Chlamydomonas reinhardtii: one gene and its partner. Each later gene encodes a partner of the first gene's protein in a complex. Links are inferred from orthologs where the notes say so. Each region holds a gene or a part of one and is shown on either strand. Other genes may lie near its edges.

The links. The genes of interacting proteins can lie anywhere in the genome.
Region 2: CHLRE_02g088900v5 (region 1) and CHLRE_08g365400v5 share a complex: the UniProt entries of both Arabidopsis thaliana proteins name them as parts of the 50S ribosomal subunit. The link is inferred for Chlamydomonas reinhardtii from reciprocal best matches to the Arabidopsis thaliana genes EMB3126 and emb2184.

The regions. Positions count from the first base shown.
Region 1 is NC_057005.1:2,075,694-2,083,520, reverse strand, and holds CHLRE_02g088900v5 (uncharacterized protein), read right to left. Parts: upstream 5,006-7,827; 5' UTR 4,974-5,005; coding exon 4,341-4,973; intron 4,014-4,340; coding exon 3,888-4,013; intron 3,621-3,887; coding exon 3,486-3,620; 3' UTR 2,668-3,485; downstream 1-2,667. Other genes in the region: CHLRE_02g089000v5 (uncharacterized protein), read left to right, coding at 48-97, 231-375; CHLRE_02g088950v5 (uncharacterized protein), read left to right, coding at 524-693, 893-1,131, 1,317-1,615, 1,809-2,123; CHLRE_02g088850v5 (uncharacterized protein), read right to left, coding at 5,543-5,659, 5,842-5,888, 5,996-6,074, 6,218-6,313, 6,380-6,570, 6,654-6,798; CHLRE_02g088800v5 (uncharacterized protein), read right to left, coding at 7,771-7,827. UniProt on the Arabidopsis thaliana protein: This protein binds directly to 23S ribosomal RNA.
Region 2 is NC_057011.1:1,623,100-1,630,039, forward strand, and holds CHLRE_08g365400v5 (uncharacterized protein), read right to left. Parts: upstream 3,275-6,940; 5' UTR 3,225-3,274; intron 3,104-3,224; 5' UTR 3,084-3,103; coding exon 2,697-3,083; intron 2,384-2,696; coding exon 2,360-2,383; 3' UTR 1,661-2,359; downstream 1-1,660. Other genes in the region: CHLRE_08g365351v5 (uncharacterized protein), read right to left, coding at 150-750, 985-1,134, 1,206-1,415; CHLRE_08g365450v5 (uncharacterized protein), read left to right, coding at 3,545-3,649, 4,295-4,482, 4,862-5,026, 5,336-5,411, 5,720-5,887, 6,189-6,305, 6,612-6,696. UniProt on the Arabidopsis thaliana protein: Binds the 23S rRNA.

The DNA of each region.
Region 1 (7,827 bases):
GGCCGCGTATTGATTGGGCCTGTGCGCGACGTGCTGCTTGCCTGCAGATTGGAGGATGCATGGAGGGCTTCATGTACGCTACTGGCTTCTATGACATGTGGGTTGGGCTTAGACGAAGGGTCAGAGGCTGGTTGATGTGCGTGTGGCCGCGTCTACGCTGACTGCCACACGCCAGCCCCCCCTGCTGTCCTCCTCCCTGGCTCCTTTACCTTTCTCTCCTTGAACCACAGAGTCACTAAGAAGGAGGCGGAGAAGTACGTGGAGTCCCTCGAGGAGCGCCAGGAGCTGCTGCGCAAGCTGCGCGAGCGGGGGCTTCTGGAAGGCACCGACATCGGCCTGACCACCTCCCCGGCCGGTGACGCCAGCCGTCGCTAGGCAGCTTCCTAGCCTTCCTAGAGGTCTGTGCAGGACCTGCTTGCCTTGATCCCCTGCCCCGACAAACCGACAGTATACCTTCGCGTCGGGAGCAGCAGTTCCAGCATTATCAGCAGTAGCATCAGCAGTCCCGCCACACAGCAGCGACATGGAGGCCATGCTGCGCAACATCACGGCGGGCTCCTCCGCCGCCGCCAACCCGCTGCTGCGCTCGGTGCTGGGCCCCAACGCCAGCGCGGCGGACTACGCGGAGGTGGCCCAGTACGCGGAGAACATGTGGAAGATGATGGACGAGATGGCGGAGCAGGACCCCGAGGGGTGCGCGCGGGGTCATGCGTGCAGGGTCATGTGTGACTGTAGGCCAGAGGCAAATGGCGCCGGTGGTGGAGAGGGCGTTGCGGGGCGGAGCTGTCAACTTGTGGGCTCACGCCCGCGTCTGGCAGGCCCGGCAGCCGCTATGGACGGGCGGCGGTGTGACGCGGTATCGTTGCTCCCTTGTGCAACTTCTGCCGAGCAGGTACCAGGAGTTCATCAAGACGCAGGCGCAGGTCGCCAAGGAGGAGGCGGAGAAGGCGCGAGACCCGCATGTGGAGAGCCTTGCGCCCGCTCTGGTGCTGGAGGCGCAGGCGCAGCAGCCGCAGGCGGCGGCGGTCGTGGCGGCGGCGGCAGCGGCCGGCGGCGCGCCGGCCAGTGTGGCTAACCTTGTGGGGGGCAGCAAGGCGGTGGCGCGCGTGCACGTGTGGGCCGCTACGGATGGTGAGCGCTGCGTCGATGCCGGGTTGGACTTGCGACGGTGGATACCTGCAAATGCATATGCTGCTGTAAACACACGTGCCGTACTGCATCAAGGGGACTGACGCCTCCAGAGCGGCTGCCTGGGATCTTGACCAGCACCCTCCGCTCCCCGCCCATTCCTGCCCGCCTGCCCGCCTGCCTTGCAGCATCGGGCCTGCGCCCCGCACACTTTGCCGACGGCGCGCCGCTGCGCCCTGGCGCCGCCGCGCCGCCGGGCGGCAGCTGGTCGGGCCTTGTCGTACCGCTGGCCGAGTACCGGGCCGCCATGTCGCGGCCAGGCCAGGTGCTGGTGCACCACTTCCACGTGGCGGCGCACGGCGACGCGGTGCGCGCGGCGGCAGCGGACGCGCCGCCGGGGGCACGCGGCGCGCTGCTGGAGGCGGTGAGCCAGTTCGCGGAGGCCGAGTACCGCCTGGTGCTCAGCAGAAGCGTGCGCACGCTGCAGGTGCGGCGGGGGAGGGCAGGGGAGGGGCGGACGGGGAGGGCGCGCGTAGGGGAGTGGTTTTGGGGTTGTTGGTGGGGATGGCTGCGCTGCCAACGGCGAGAGTCGCGGCAGTATTGTAACTCCCGAGTTGAGGCTCTGCATGGTTTGTCTCGGATCCGGCATCAACACGACCGCCGCCGTCTCCTTGATGCAGGTGCATCGCGACGCCGTGGGCGATAAGGCGTTTGAGGGGCTGCACAAGCAGCAGCAAGAGCGGCTGCAGCAGGCGGCTGCCAAGGCGGCGCAGGTGGCCGTGGCCGGCGCCGACGATGCGGGCACAACGGGCAAAGCGACGGACGCAGGGCAGGGCTTGGGGGCGGCCTCCAACCCGGGTGTGCCACACAGCCTCCTGGAGGAGCTTAAGGTGGTTGGGATGTCCAACCCAAAGCAGCCGGTGGGCGCGGCGGCGGCTGCAGGCAAGGAGGCGGCAGTAGCCAAGAAGAAGCCTCTAATTGAAGAGCTGGATTGACACACGGTATGGGCAGATTGCGTTGTTCCTGCAGGGGCATGTGTGCGATGCGACAGGGTAAGCTGGGGTGCGGGGCAGGTTGGCGCAGTACCATAGAATGCAGGGTGTTTCCAGACCAGATAGGTGCCGGTGGTCAAGGACAGGTTGGCAGAGGCTCTAACGCTTACGAGCGGTTGGTGGTTGGTTGAGAGCCCAGGGAGGCGTCGCGTTACGCCATGGGACTGTGGGTACGCCGACCCAGGCCGACCAGACCCCCCAGGATGCCCGCGTCAGCCAAGTCTGATTTCATTGATACTGCTACACTTCGCGTACGGCATTTGGCGGTGTTGTTATGTTTTATACGGGGTTCCTGTGTCGCCCGCTGGTCCTGCTGACAACTTCACTGGTTTCTTAGCCACTTGACGGTATGCTGTACGGGCAGTCGGCTGTGCCACCCAAACAGCTCTGGCGGTCTGGCCACACCTGGCACTCGATACCCGGTAGCTCGATTGCTTGCCCGCTTACGACCCTGCGCCACCCCGCACCCGGCAATGGACAACGTAACTTTACCACGACATTACATCGTTTACTTGCCGCCGGTTGCGGCCCAATCCTCCACTCCGCACGGAACAGTCTGTATCTATGTTCCAAGCCGCCGCTTAGTCTATCCGACTCTGAAAATACCGCGGCGACCCCATCCTCCTATGCCATGCCGGATAGCTGGCTAGCGTTAGCCGTGCGCTGACGACACGCGCACGCCGGCAGCGCTTGCCATCCGTGCGTTGTGACCTGAACCCCAAAGCCACCGCCGCCAGCTCCAAGCAAGCTCTGTGCACGCCCTGCATCGGCTGCGACTGGATCGCGGCCGAGCGGTGCAGCCTGTCAGCTGCGTTGCGTGCCGCTCACGAGGTCCCAGCTCCATCCGCCCTCTACCACAAGAAAATCCACGCCCGCCGGCGCGCTCGCACGGCGCCGGTCTGTATCTGAAGGCGATTGCAAAATCGGGCACCGCTGACGCCCTGACATCGCCATCCCGCGCGCCGTGTGAACTGCCGCCGCTGGCGGCCCAGACAAAGCACAGCGCCCGCCGATCGCGATGGCCAGCGCAGCCTCCTACTCCGCACAAAGCGCGTGTGCAAACGCCATGCTCCGCTCCTCCACATGCTGCTGCTCTCCATCATGCGGTCAGTCCACTGCTGCTCCTGCTGCTGCTGCATTGCTTCAGCGCTGCTGCTCGCCAGCCGCCAAACCTGCTGCCGCCGGCCTCCAAACCAAGCCGGCCTCCCGCGCAGCCGTCACCTCCATGCCAACACCACAAAATCCATTGTCCGCTGCCTTCCCAAGCCCACAGTCGCCGCCGTTAGCGAGTCCAGCGCGAGCCGCTTACTCCGCCTTGCCCTTAGTGTTCTGCAGGGCCGAGACGCCGATGCGCAGCGAGGGGCCCATAGTGGTGCACACGTACATGGACTTCCAGTACACACCCTTAGCGCCGGGGGGCTTGTTGGCATCGATCGACTCCTGCAAGCAGAAAGGAGCAACCATATATGGGTCAGGGCTCTGGCGCACGATGGTTTGCAGCGGTTCCCGGGTGACCCATTTCGTGCGGAGCCCTGCAAGTCGACAATACGGCGCACTGGCAAAGACGAAGTGCAGCCAGCCACCACCGGCGCACCGCCGTCCGCGCACATGCATGCCGCCCGCCCTCCAGCCCTCCCATCCACCTCGCTTCAATCATGCGCAGCCACAAAGCATTACTAGCAACACAGCAAAGAACATGCCGCGCACCTGCACGGCCTTCAGGTTGAAGAGCAGGTCCTCCTCCTTAAAGTCGGCGCGGCCGAACAGCACGTGCAGGTTGCCGGTCTTGTCCAGGCGGTACTCCACCTTGCCGCCCTTGAAGTCCTTGACGGTCTGTGGGGTTGGAGGCAAGGGAAGGAAGAAGCACGGATGCTTAATGCAGCGCCTGGCGACGCGTACGGGCTAAGAGTATACATACGAGCTGGTCGACAGTGCGGACCCCCGCCAGTCACTTTGGCTGATGCGCCCGGCCTGTTGGGTCGCCCTAAAACTGCATCAAATGTGACGATGGCTTGGCAGCTGACGTGCAAAATCCGCATTCAGTCGTGGTCACTGGGTAGGCCCACAGCCTACACAGCGCATCACCGCACATGCCCCCCTCCCCCCGCAAGCCGATCGCCACCCCCCTCCCTTTGCCAACGCCTCGCGACGGCTGCTTACCCCGGCCACATCGGTGGTCACGGTGCCCGCCTTGGGGTTGGGCATCAGGCCACGGGGACCCAGCACACGACCCAGCTTGGCGACCTTAGGCATCATGTCGGGGGTGGCAATGAGCTTGTCGAACTCCATGAAACCACCGCTAATCTTCTCGATCAGGTCATCCCCGCCCACAACATCGGCACCAGCATCCTTAGCCAGCTTGATGTTGTCGTTCTGGGTCAGAACGGCCACGCGCAGCTCCTTGCCGGTGCCGAATGGCAGCGACACAGTCGCGCGCAGCTGCTGGTCCGAGAACTTGGGGTCCAGGCCCATGCGGGCGTGGAACTCCACGGACTCAGTGAACTTAGTGGAGGCGGTCTGCTTCACCAGGCGAATAGCCTCCTTGGGGTCCAGCTCCGAGGTGCGGCCAGGAGTCTTGGTCTGCATCGCCTTGAAGCGCTTGGACCGCGGCTTCTCCTTACGCACATTCTGCTGAGGCTTGTTGGCCACGACCTCAAACTCAACCTCCTCGTCCAGGGCCGCCGCGCGGACGACCACCACAGGGCGAGGCGCCACCACGGGCCTGAAGGGCGCCACCGAGCGAACGCCGGCGCTGGGCTGCAGCAGCCGCTGCTGCAGGGACATCATGGCCATGGTTGCTAAACTAATGTAAATAGTGTAGTGGGGGCCAACGGGGCTCTGAGTCGAGCCTAGAGCAAATTGTGGCCGGGCACCATTGCCCATCGCGCCCCCCAATTCCCCAATTCCTGCCAGACATTGCCACGAAAAAATGTAGTCCTTGTGTTACATGCATAATCCAGGCTCACGCGATTTAACCCACTTGCAAGGGCAAACTCGCCGCCGCGCGAGCTGCAAGTCCACATGCCTCGCGGCCAAGCCGCTCGCGGCCGTCCCCCGGCACAACGAACCGAAGAACGATTTTATTGGCGCATTCAAGCATCCTTGTAAAACACACGTGACTCACAGTCACACGGACATGCCCACAGCATCCCCCAACCTGCCCACACCCACAGCACCAGGGGAGGCACAGCACTAAGCGCAAATCCCCTGCCTGCATCCGCGCCTGCGCATGCACAACCCCTTGCCTTCATCCACACCCGAAATCTAGTCAGGATTTTCACACCAGTGGCTCTACATGACGCCCGCTCCGGCATGAAAGCCTGATAACACGCGCGCGTCCTCCAGGTCCGGCTGGCTGCCATTTACCACGAGGCTTTGCCCTCCTTCTTCAGCTTGGCCAGGAGGGTCGCGGTCTCCACGGCGGTCAGGGCGGCCTCGCCACCCTTGTTGCCGACCTTGCCACCGGTGCGGTCCAGAGCCTGCAGGGGCAAGAATGCCGAAGGCACAGGGTTCGGGCCGCGCTCGCCTTGCCCCACGAGCACCCCTCCGCACTGACCACCCTCGGTCCTTGGCACTCCGGCCCAAGCCACATGCAGACATGAAACTCAGACACGCCCATGGTGAACCCCGCCTGGGATCCGCGTTTGCAATTGCGGCGCACCTGCTCCAGGTCGTCGGTGGTCAGCACGCCGAACACGACGGGCACGCCTGCACACGCACGCACCGCAGCCCAGGTCACGTGTCGATGCATGATGACAATGGCGCATTCGCATGTCAGTCTACGACCTGACCCCTGAGCCCGCGGCGGCACTCACCGGTGTCAACGCTGCAGTTGAGCACGCCGCTGGTGGCCGCGCTCACGACGGCGTCGTAGTGGGTGGTAGCGCCACGAATCTGTGCAGAGCAGCCAGCCAATACAGTTGGCTTGCCAAATCAATCCTTTGGGTGTGCTCCGCCCTGGGGTCGTCTCCCAAACGTTCCGCAAGCAGGTTCGCCGTGGGGTGATATACCAGTGCTGTGCCATCCCGCCAACTCACCACAGCGCCGATGCACACCACGCCTGCGTACTTTCCCGATTTTGCCATGGACTTGGCGATGACGGGCATCTCGAAGCTGCCCGGCACCCAAGCGACCTGCAAAACAGCGCGCGATTCAGTCGCACGCATGCGTACGCACAATGCCGACCGAGCTGTGCTTACGTCCACGTTCTCCTTGGGCACGCCATGCGCCTCAAAGGTCTCCATAGCACCCTCCAGCAGGCCCTTGGTGATCAGGCTGTTGAAGCGAGCGACCACCACCGCGTACTTGCTGCCAGGCTCCGCCATAACAGAGCCATGGTAAGTGGCCCGAGCAATGCAAGAGGCACGGCTCGAGGGGATTTGGGCGACGCCTGGTGCGACCAAAAACAAGGAATTCATTCGGCGGCCATTACACTCGCAAAAGGCCAGGTTACCGCTTTGCAAATTCGCTCACCCTGCACATGGTGAGCCTCCTGCTGCACCTGAGGCACAACGCTGACGCTAGGGCGCGGCACAGCAACACGGCTCGCAACCAGCGAGTGCTGGCGCCGAGCGGAAGCGCCCACGCACCGACCAACACGGCTCTGAAGGGCGGCCATGGTAACGTATGTTTGTGCAAGTAGCGAAAGTGAAGGTAGGGGAAATGGATGGGAAAGAGGAAGGGGAAGGGTCGGGGGGGCAACCGTCCGCAACGGCATGCATGGCGTACAGCCGTTGCCCGCCGCACAAGCGCATTGCACACAGGTAGCTCTTATACATGTGTATCCCTACGTTGGGTACGAAGTGGGGCCACGGTAGGGGGAGGTGTCCCGCCACATAAGGCAGGAACTAGCAGGAAGCACTCCAAGGCACCATGAGAGCACGGTGCCACCTGGCGGCACAGCCTGCAGACCTAGGGGCGAGGCCAAGGGCGAGGCGGGCTTCGGCTGTAACAGCTTTCCCTGGGAATCTGAGGCACCTGACAACTCGTGACTCGGTCACTCACCATGCCTGCCAACAACGCCATGTCGCCATCACGACGCCACATACGGTAGCCGCATACCCTCAGCGTCTCTGCGAGTTGGCCGTGTTAGCCTCCTGCCGTGCTGGCGTGCGCCCCCGCCTGCGTGCGAACGGGCATTGGATGGCCGTGGCCAAAGGACCCCACAACCGCGGCTGGCATGCTGGCTGCCGTTGCTCGCGTTTACTCAACACGACTGAAAGGAGTGAAGGAACACCCACAGACTACAGCAGCCGTACACAAGCAAGGTGGCCACTGATTACCACAGTCCAAGCGAGGACCATGCAATCCAATCAAGTCCTCATCACGGCAGTTACTGTTCAACACATGACACCTGGGAGTGGGAGCAGCCCCGTACCAGAACCACCCAAGCGCATGTCAGCACCCAGGCGCCGCACGCAAAACCACTGTACGTCGTCCACAGGCGTGCCGTGCGAGCACGCCTCTGTGCTTGCTAACAAATAGTCCAGTCATAGTCAGCCCGGTCTGCATCCGCACCTGCCACGCCCCACAACCCCTTACACAACCAACCGTACTCGCACACGCTTCCGCAATCACGCAACCGGGCGCGCTACCTCTTTTGCCGCTTAGGGTCGTTGCCGCCGCTCTTCTCCTTCAGCGTCACCTT
Region 2 (6,940 bases), on another chromosome or scaffold:
CCCCGCGCCCAAACCCTCCCCCGCGCCCGCCTTTGCCCTGCTGTCCGCTGTCCCTGCATACCACTCCCACAGCTCTACCCAGGGTGGACCAACCCCAAGCCCGTGATGCCGCAGCCCACGCCCGGTACGCCTCAGTCCGCGCCACTCACGCTGCAGCCTGCTCCACGCCTCCACAGAGGTCTGCGCCACCACCAGCCCGCGCAGCGCCCGCCGCACCGCGCCCCGCTCCCGGTCGCTCAGGCCCGCCTGCAGCGCCGCCGCCGCGTCCGGACCCAAGCTGCGCGGCACCTGGTGACGCCGCGCGCCGCGCCGCGGCACGGCCTGGCCCGGGGGGTGCAACTGCTGCTGTTGCTGCTGTTCCTGTTGCCCGTGCGGCGGCGGTGACAGTGGCGGCGGCGGCATAGGCGGCTTCCAACCGCCTGTTTCTGCGTCTGTAGCAGCTGCCGCCGCCGCGGCCTCTGACCCAGATGCCGCCGCCGTGCTGCCTGCCGCCGGCGCAAGCAGCACGGCTCCCGTTGCTGCTGCAGGCTGCGGCTGCGGCGGCCGCGGCGGTTGCAGCGGCTGCGGGGATGGGGGCGGCTGCAGCAGAGGCAGCAGCGGCTGGCCGTCGGGCCCACTGAAGGTGATGTGGTATAGCTCCCGGGGCCGGTGGGGGCAGGCGCCCAGGACCACCGCCACGGCCGCGGGCTGCGCTGCCGCCAGCAGCTGGGGGCTGGCGGCGGCCAGCAGCGCATCCATGGACTCGGAAAACTGCGAGATGCGGGAGTTTGTCACAGAGCACAAGCACGCAAGTGTGTGTGTATTTGTGTTGCGATGGAGGGACCATGACCGTGGGGCATGCCCCCGTAGCACGACCCAGGTGGGAGTGTTCGCCCCGGTGTAAATTGTGGCCCGGGTGAGTGGGAGCGGGCCTGGGCGGCAAGGACACGGCAAGGACACGGCTCGCAACCCGTCGACCGCAGCCCCGGGTTGCCTCAAGCGCACCTTGATGATGCGGTTTACAGCCGAGGGCAGCCGCAGGCGCCTGCTGCGCCGCGGCCGGGTCAGCCTTGCATGAGTCGCACCCGAGGCGCGAAGCTCCTGCTCCTGTTTCTGCTCCTGTTCATGCTGTTCCGCCAGCGACTCCAGGCTACTCTGCATGATGCCGAGAGCCAATAGCACTGGTAAGGTAGACTTTGATAGGACAGATTTTGGCGCGCACGCACCTGCAGCGCGGCCCGAAGGTGCTCAAAGGGCGTCTGCGTCTGGCCGCGCGCAAATTGGATGAACTTGATGAGCTCCTGCAGCAGCGCGGCAGCAAGGCCGCTGTGCAGGCTCACGCCGGGGCCCAGCCTCACCGACAGCTTCACCGGCAGCGGTGGGTGCCGCGAGGATGCTGCCGAAAGCGCTGCAGCGCCGCCCCGAGACCTCAACATGTGTTCTTGTGTATTACCAGCTCGACTGTTTCTGTGTCTGCCGTTGACTACGTTCTTCTGGGCTTTGAAATCAGTGTCCCCGTGCTGGCCCTTCTACCCCTTCTGCATCTGACCGGTACGAGCCCCCCCCCTCCCGCCAGGGGCCCCCCGGCCCCCCGCGCACGGTTGCCCTCACTTGAATCCCCCCTCCCGATTCCCAGCAGCAGGGAGGGCGTGCAGGCGTGCAGCAGGCGCGTCAGGTCACATCGGATATGCATTTACAGAGCTCGACAACGCTCTCCTATTTGATTGCACACGTCTGTCCGGCGTTCTGTCCGGCACTCAACCACACCGCCTCTCTCTCCAAGCTCTCTCCGCGCCTCTGCGTATCGACGTGCGTATATGCAGCTACCCACCCCACGTCCTGCTACGAAGAGCCACGAGCCGTTGGGTTAAGAGCTTCGCAGCCGTCGCCACGCGAGTCAAAATGTGGCCAGGCCAGCAGCTCACACACACACCAACCAGCCTACGTTGCTCCTTGGCGCGCGCTGCCCGGGGCGGTCAATTCCGGTCGAGCCTTAGCCCGAACCCCTGCGCCTTGGGTGCGCTGCCCCGTAAGACTCCTGCTCCACGCGCGCTTCTAACAACAAACCCACATCAAGCGCCGCACGGGTCGGCATGTCGGCATGCCGCCTCGCCTCGCCATCTGTCAGGCCTCTCCCTCCGCGCTGCTGCCAGCGCCGATGCGCCTGCGCCCGAGGTCGCTCCTGATGGCACCCGCGCGTTGCTTCCCTGCGCCGCTGTGCTGCTGCACTGACGGCGCCAACTTCTACACATGGCCGCCTCCACACGTCCGCCCCGCTCCCAGCCCAGGCGCCAGCCGCCGGCGCTGACAAACCCCCCTGCTAGCTGTGCATGCTGCTGCCAGCGGCCTGTCGGCCGCCGGCGCCACTCCAGCGAGCCGCTTACTTCTTCTTGCCCTTCTTGTTCTGCGGGGTCAAGGGGCGAGAGGATGCGCGGGAAATTAGGTGTGATCAGGCTCGCACCGGACATGTCCGCACGTACCCGCTCGAACGGCACGCCGGTGCCGTGGAGGGCACACGGGTGGGGCTGCTCAGCCCCTGAGGGTCTCCCCCCCCCCGCCCTTGCGTAACCCCCGAGAACAGCGCCATCCATTCCTCCAAGCATCAAATAGAGCGCGACCGACCGTCCGACCTAGCTGCCGTGCACATGGCCCACAAGCAGGGATGGCCACACCCCAGAACTTCTGGCGGACCCGAGCGCTGTTTCGCCAGCCCTTACCGCGGCAGCAGCGGGCTTCTCCTTCGCCGACGGGTCCTCGGCCTTGCCGGCCTGCAGAATGGGCACGACCGCGAGCTCCTCCAGCTCCGCGAACCGCTTCTTGAACTTGTTCAGCTGGCCATCGTCCAGCACCATGGTGGTGCGGTTGCCCTGGTAGAATGGGTGGTTGCCCGAGTAGATATCCACGTTGTACGTGGCCTTGGTGCCGCCCACGGTCATGACCTCCACACCGTTGCAAATGACCTTAGCCTCCTCAAACCACTGAGGGTGAATGCCCTCCTTGGCCATGCGCGCGGCGGTCACGCCCCGGCGCGCCTGGCCGATGCGGACGTTGCCCAGGCGCGAGCCCGAGAACGCGGTGACGCGAGAGCTGGTGAGGGTCGCCATCGCGCTGCTAGTTCCTTTCCCTGCAGCAAATGAAAAGCGTTTGTGAGGCCCCGGAGCGAGTAGAGCGAGCGGCGGACCCAGTTCAGGCTGCGGCCGAATTTGTGGACTGGCTGCGCGGTCGGTCGCTAGCGAGGGACTGACCTTATGGCGTGACTCTGACGCCTACTAGAATGTAAAAGAACTAGTTAAGTAGAGTGGAGAACAGGGCTCGAGGTCCACACAGGTCCCTCGCTTGCCGGCGATGCAGGGGCGATTGAAGGGGGCAGGTGAAAGGAGGCTCCTCCACTTGGCTAAATTAAATCTGTGATACAGTATCATTAGGCACGCCATAATTTCAACTGCACAGCCATAAAACCACCGCGCAGGCAACAAAAGACTTTGCTGCGGGTCGATCTGAGGGAATGGTGGTCCAATTCGCGCACTAGTCTTAATATAATTGGTTCATAGCCCAGTAGAAAAGAATGGGACAGTTCTACTCGCGAGAGTTCGATGGCGACCCCTACGTCGACCTTATGCGCTCGCTCCCAGAGCGGGAGCTGGTCTGGTGGGCGCAGAAAGTCATTTGGGTGAGTCGGGGCACAGCTGTTTGCCGCCATGCGAGGTGGCAAGTGCAAGGAAGTTGGTTTGCTGTGCCCCGACACCTCGTTTGCGGCGGCTGAGTAGCGTTAAAGCTGCATTGAGTTACAAAATGGTTGAACGGTTTGCGATATGGCCAATAGATCTGCGGGGTGGCTCGAAAGCGGCGACACACGGCGCCTGCGCCTTTCTCCACCCCAGACCCCACACGCAACGGGCCCGGCAGCCACGCACAGAGCGACGCGGGGGACAGGGTGCAGCAGCTGGCGCTGCATCGTGTGTTGCTACTAGTGGCTGTATCTGCGCGCCTGCGGGTCTTGGCGATGGGGACGTTAGCGGTGCGGCCCCGTGCCTGCCGCACTCACATCTCATATCCCTCTCGGCCGCCGGCTTGCTTGCGGCAACCACGGCGCACGCAACACACCGAATGCAGTCAGCTGGCGTGGTAACAAAACCAAACAAATGCAACGTAGGGTAGGGGTACGGTTGCACCCGCCCCGCATGGCCCCCGCCCTGCGCCGCCCCCTCTCCCCCCCCCTCCCGCTCACCCCTTGCCTGCTCCCTGTCAATCTTCCATTCCCGCCCCGCAATCCCCCCCCCGCCCCCTACACACACCCACCCACCTCACAAAACAGCTGGCGGAGGGCTTCACGTTCGTGGACCACTTCGCGCGCACCTACCCGCGGCTGCTCCAGCACAAGTGCCAGCGCTGCAAGGGCGCCGGCGTCATGACCTGCCCCGCCTGCCTAGGCGACGCGCGCGTGTCGGGCGGCGCGCGGCGGCGGGCGGCGCTTGCGGGGCTGGGCGGCGTCGCTGAGGGCCGGTGAGGCGTCGGGGGCCTGTGGGCAGGGGGCCATGGGCAGGGGGTCTGGGGAAGGGCAAGCGTGTAGCCTAATAAAGGGAGTTAACTGAATGGGATTCACTGAAGTGGTCGAGGCCGGCTGCGGGGAGGAGGGGGGGCTGTGGGGTGTAGGTGGGCTGCAGACGGCGGGGTGTGTCGGGCGCCTTCGGGCGTGGCTGCGTGGCGCTGGTTTGCACAACCCGGTCCGGTTCTGGCCCGATCCGGCTCCAATGCGCACCCGGGTGGCGGCGCACGCACACAAGCACATACCCACATACGCGCACACGCGCCTGACCCTCAACTGCATCCTTCGCTGCTGCTGCGGCCCCCTCCCCCGCTGCTGCGGCCCCCGCTGCCGCAGCTCCGCGCACGACCACGACCACGAGGCGGGCGCGGACGGCGGCTGCCGCGTGTGCGGCACGGCGTGCGCCTGGGACGCGGAGAGCGAGTGGATGGAGCGGTGGGGCGAGTGGGAGTCGCGCCTGGCCTACTACGACAAGGCCACGGGGCCGCTCATGGATGAGTGGTGAGAGAATGGGCGGTGGGATTAGGAGGGGAGGGGTTCGGCTAGCGTGTGGCGTGAGAGCGTGGAAGCTGGGGGATTGGGGAGGAGCGAGGGGATTGTTTGTCCGATGTATTCTCTCCACAACCGGAAGAGCGCCCTGCACCTGTTGCCCCACCCCTAGTCACGTCTTCGTCTTCAGTCTTCTTGGCATCCTGTACCGCTTTTCCAACTATCTTTGCGGCCCCCTGCGTCCCTGCTCTCTGCCTGTCCTTGGCCTGCATCGCTAATCAGACCCTTTTGAATTCCCTGCCTTTCCTGCTCCCTCGCCAGGTATGAGGACGTGTTGAACGCGGGCAACCTGGAGGAGGACACGCCGCCGGTGGAGGACGACCCGCCCGGGCCCGAGGTGAGGGAGGAGGGGCAGGAGGAAGCGCGGGCGATTAAATCACAAGTATGAAGGGAGGATCGTATATGCCCGAGCTCACATGAAACAGGTCACGATTGTCAAGGAGTGGCCGCCCCCGGGGGGCAGGAGCGAAGCGGTGGCGGGGCAAGGCGGGGGAAAGCCGGCGCGGGGCAGTAGGAACCCGGGTTTGTGGCCGGCGGCGATCGGACGGGGAACAGAGCCCAGGGAAGATAGTCCCCGAGTCCCGAAGAGGCCGGGACAGCCCTAGTTGCCTAACCACCTGTGTGTACCCTACCCCATGCACACAGGTCACGGGCCGCTGGGCGGAGCACGACCGCGCGCTGCATAAGGACAAGAAGCGCATGGCGGCGCTGATGCGGCGCTGGGGCCACCCCTACGACGCCGACGCCAACCTGGGCTACCAGATTGTGGACCCCACCGCCAGCATGGGCGAGAACGTGTGGAACATGGCGCAGGTGCGGGCGGGGCGCCGTGTGTCTGTGTGTGTATGTGTGTGTGTTAAAGAGCAGAAGGAAACGAATGCGTGTGCGTGTGTGTTACGCAAAGAAGTGCTCCGGTTTCTGAAGCGTATGTGCATATGCAAGCACACGCGTGTGATTTGCTTGCTATGTGTTTGAGGGTTGTGGGGTTTTAGGGTTTCTGGGGCGGCCGAACAGCGCTCCCTAACCACTTACCACTTGCAACCCGCGCGCACACACACGCGCGCTCCACACACACACACGCGTCCCACCCCACACACGCGCGCTCCGCACACAGGTGTACAACTCGCTGCCGCCGGAGCTGAACCCGCTGCGCACCCAGCACCTGGCGGACCGCGGCGGCGGCAACACGCAGGCGGCGGTGGAGGCGGCCCGCAGCGCCTTCGACGCGCAGGTGGGGAGTGGGCGCGGGTTGCGAGGACCAAAGCAAAAGAAGGGGGGAAGCTGTCCATGGAAGACGGGGGGGGGCGATGAATTACACGTTTGAAGTGAGGAGGGGTGGGCCAAGAAGGCATGGCTCGGGAGCGGGCCTTGTTGTTGCCTGTGAACCGCGTCGTTGTGGCATCAGCACTGGTCTATTGCATCGCCTCATGTCCAGTCAAGTCTGGGTCCCGAGATGGCTAGCACCTCTCTTCTCTTTACTTGCTCTCACGAATGGCCGCCTCCCTTCTTGCTCCTGTCAACTGACGCACCCACGCAGGTGGTGATGGAGGCGGCCCTGCTTCAGAACCTGGAGGCGGCGGCGCAGGACCTGCCCAAGCCGCACCGCCTGCCGCCCACCGCCGGTGGGTCACAGTGCTCGTGTGTTATTTGCAACAGTCCGGGAACAGACCGGGAATAAGGACGTGGGAGACACCCGTGTGTTGTTGACTTACCAAAGGGCTAGGGTGAACCCCCTGCCTGCATCTGCCGCGGCGTCCATGCGCCTGCTGCAACCACGCCTCACACGCTCCGCCACTCCTCCATTCCTTCACTCTTCCACCCCTACACGCTCCGTCACCCCTACACGCTCCTCCACTCCCACACGCT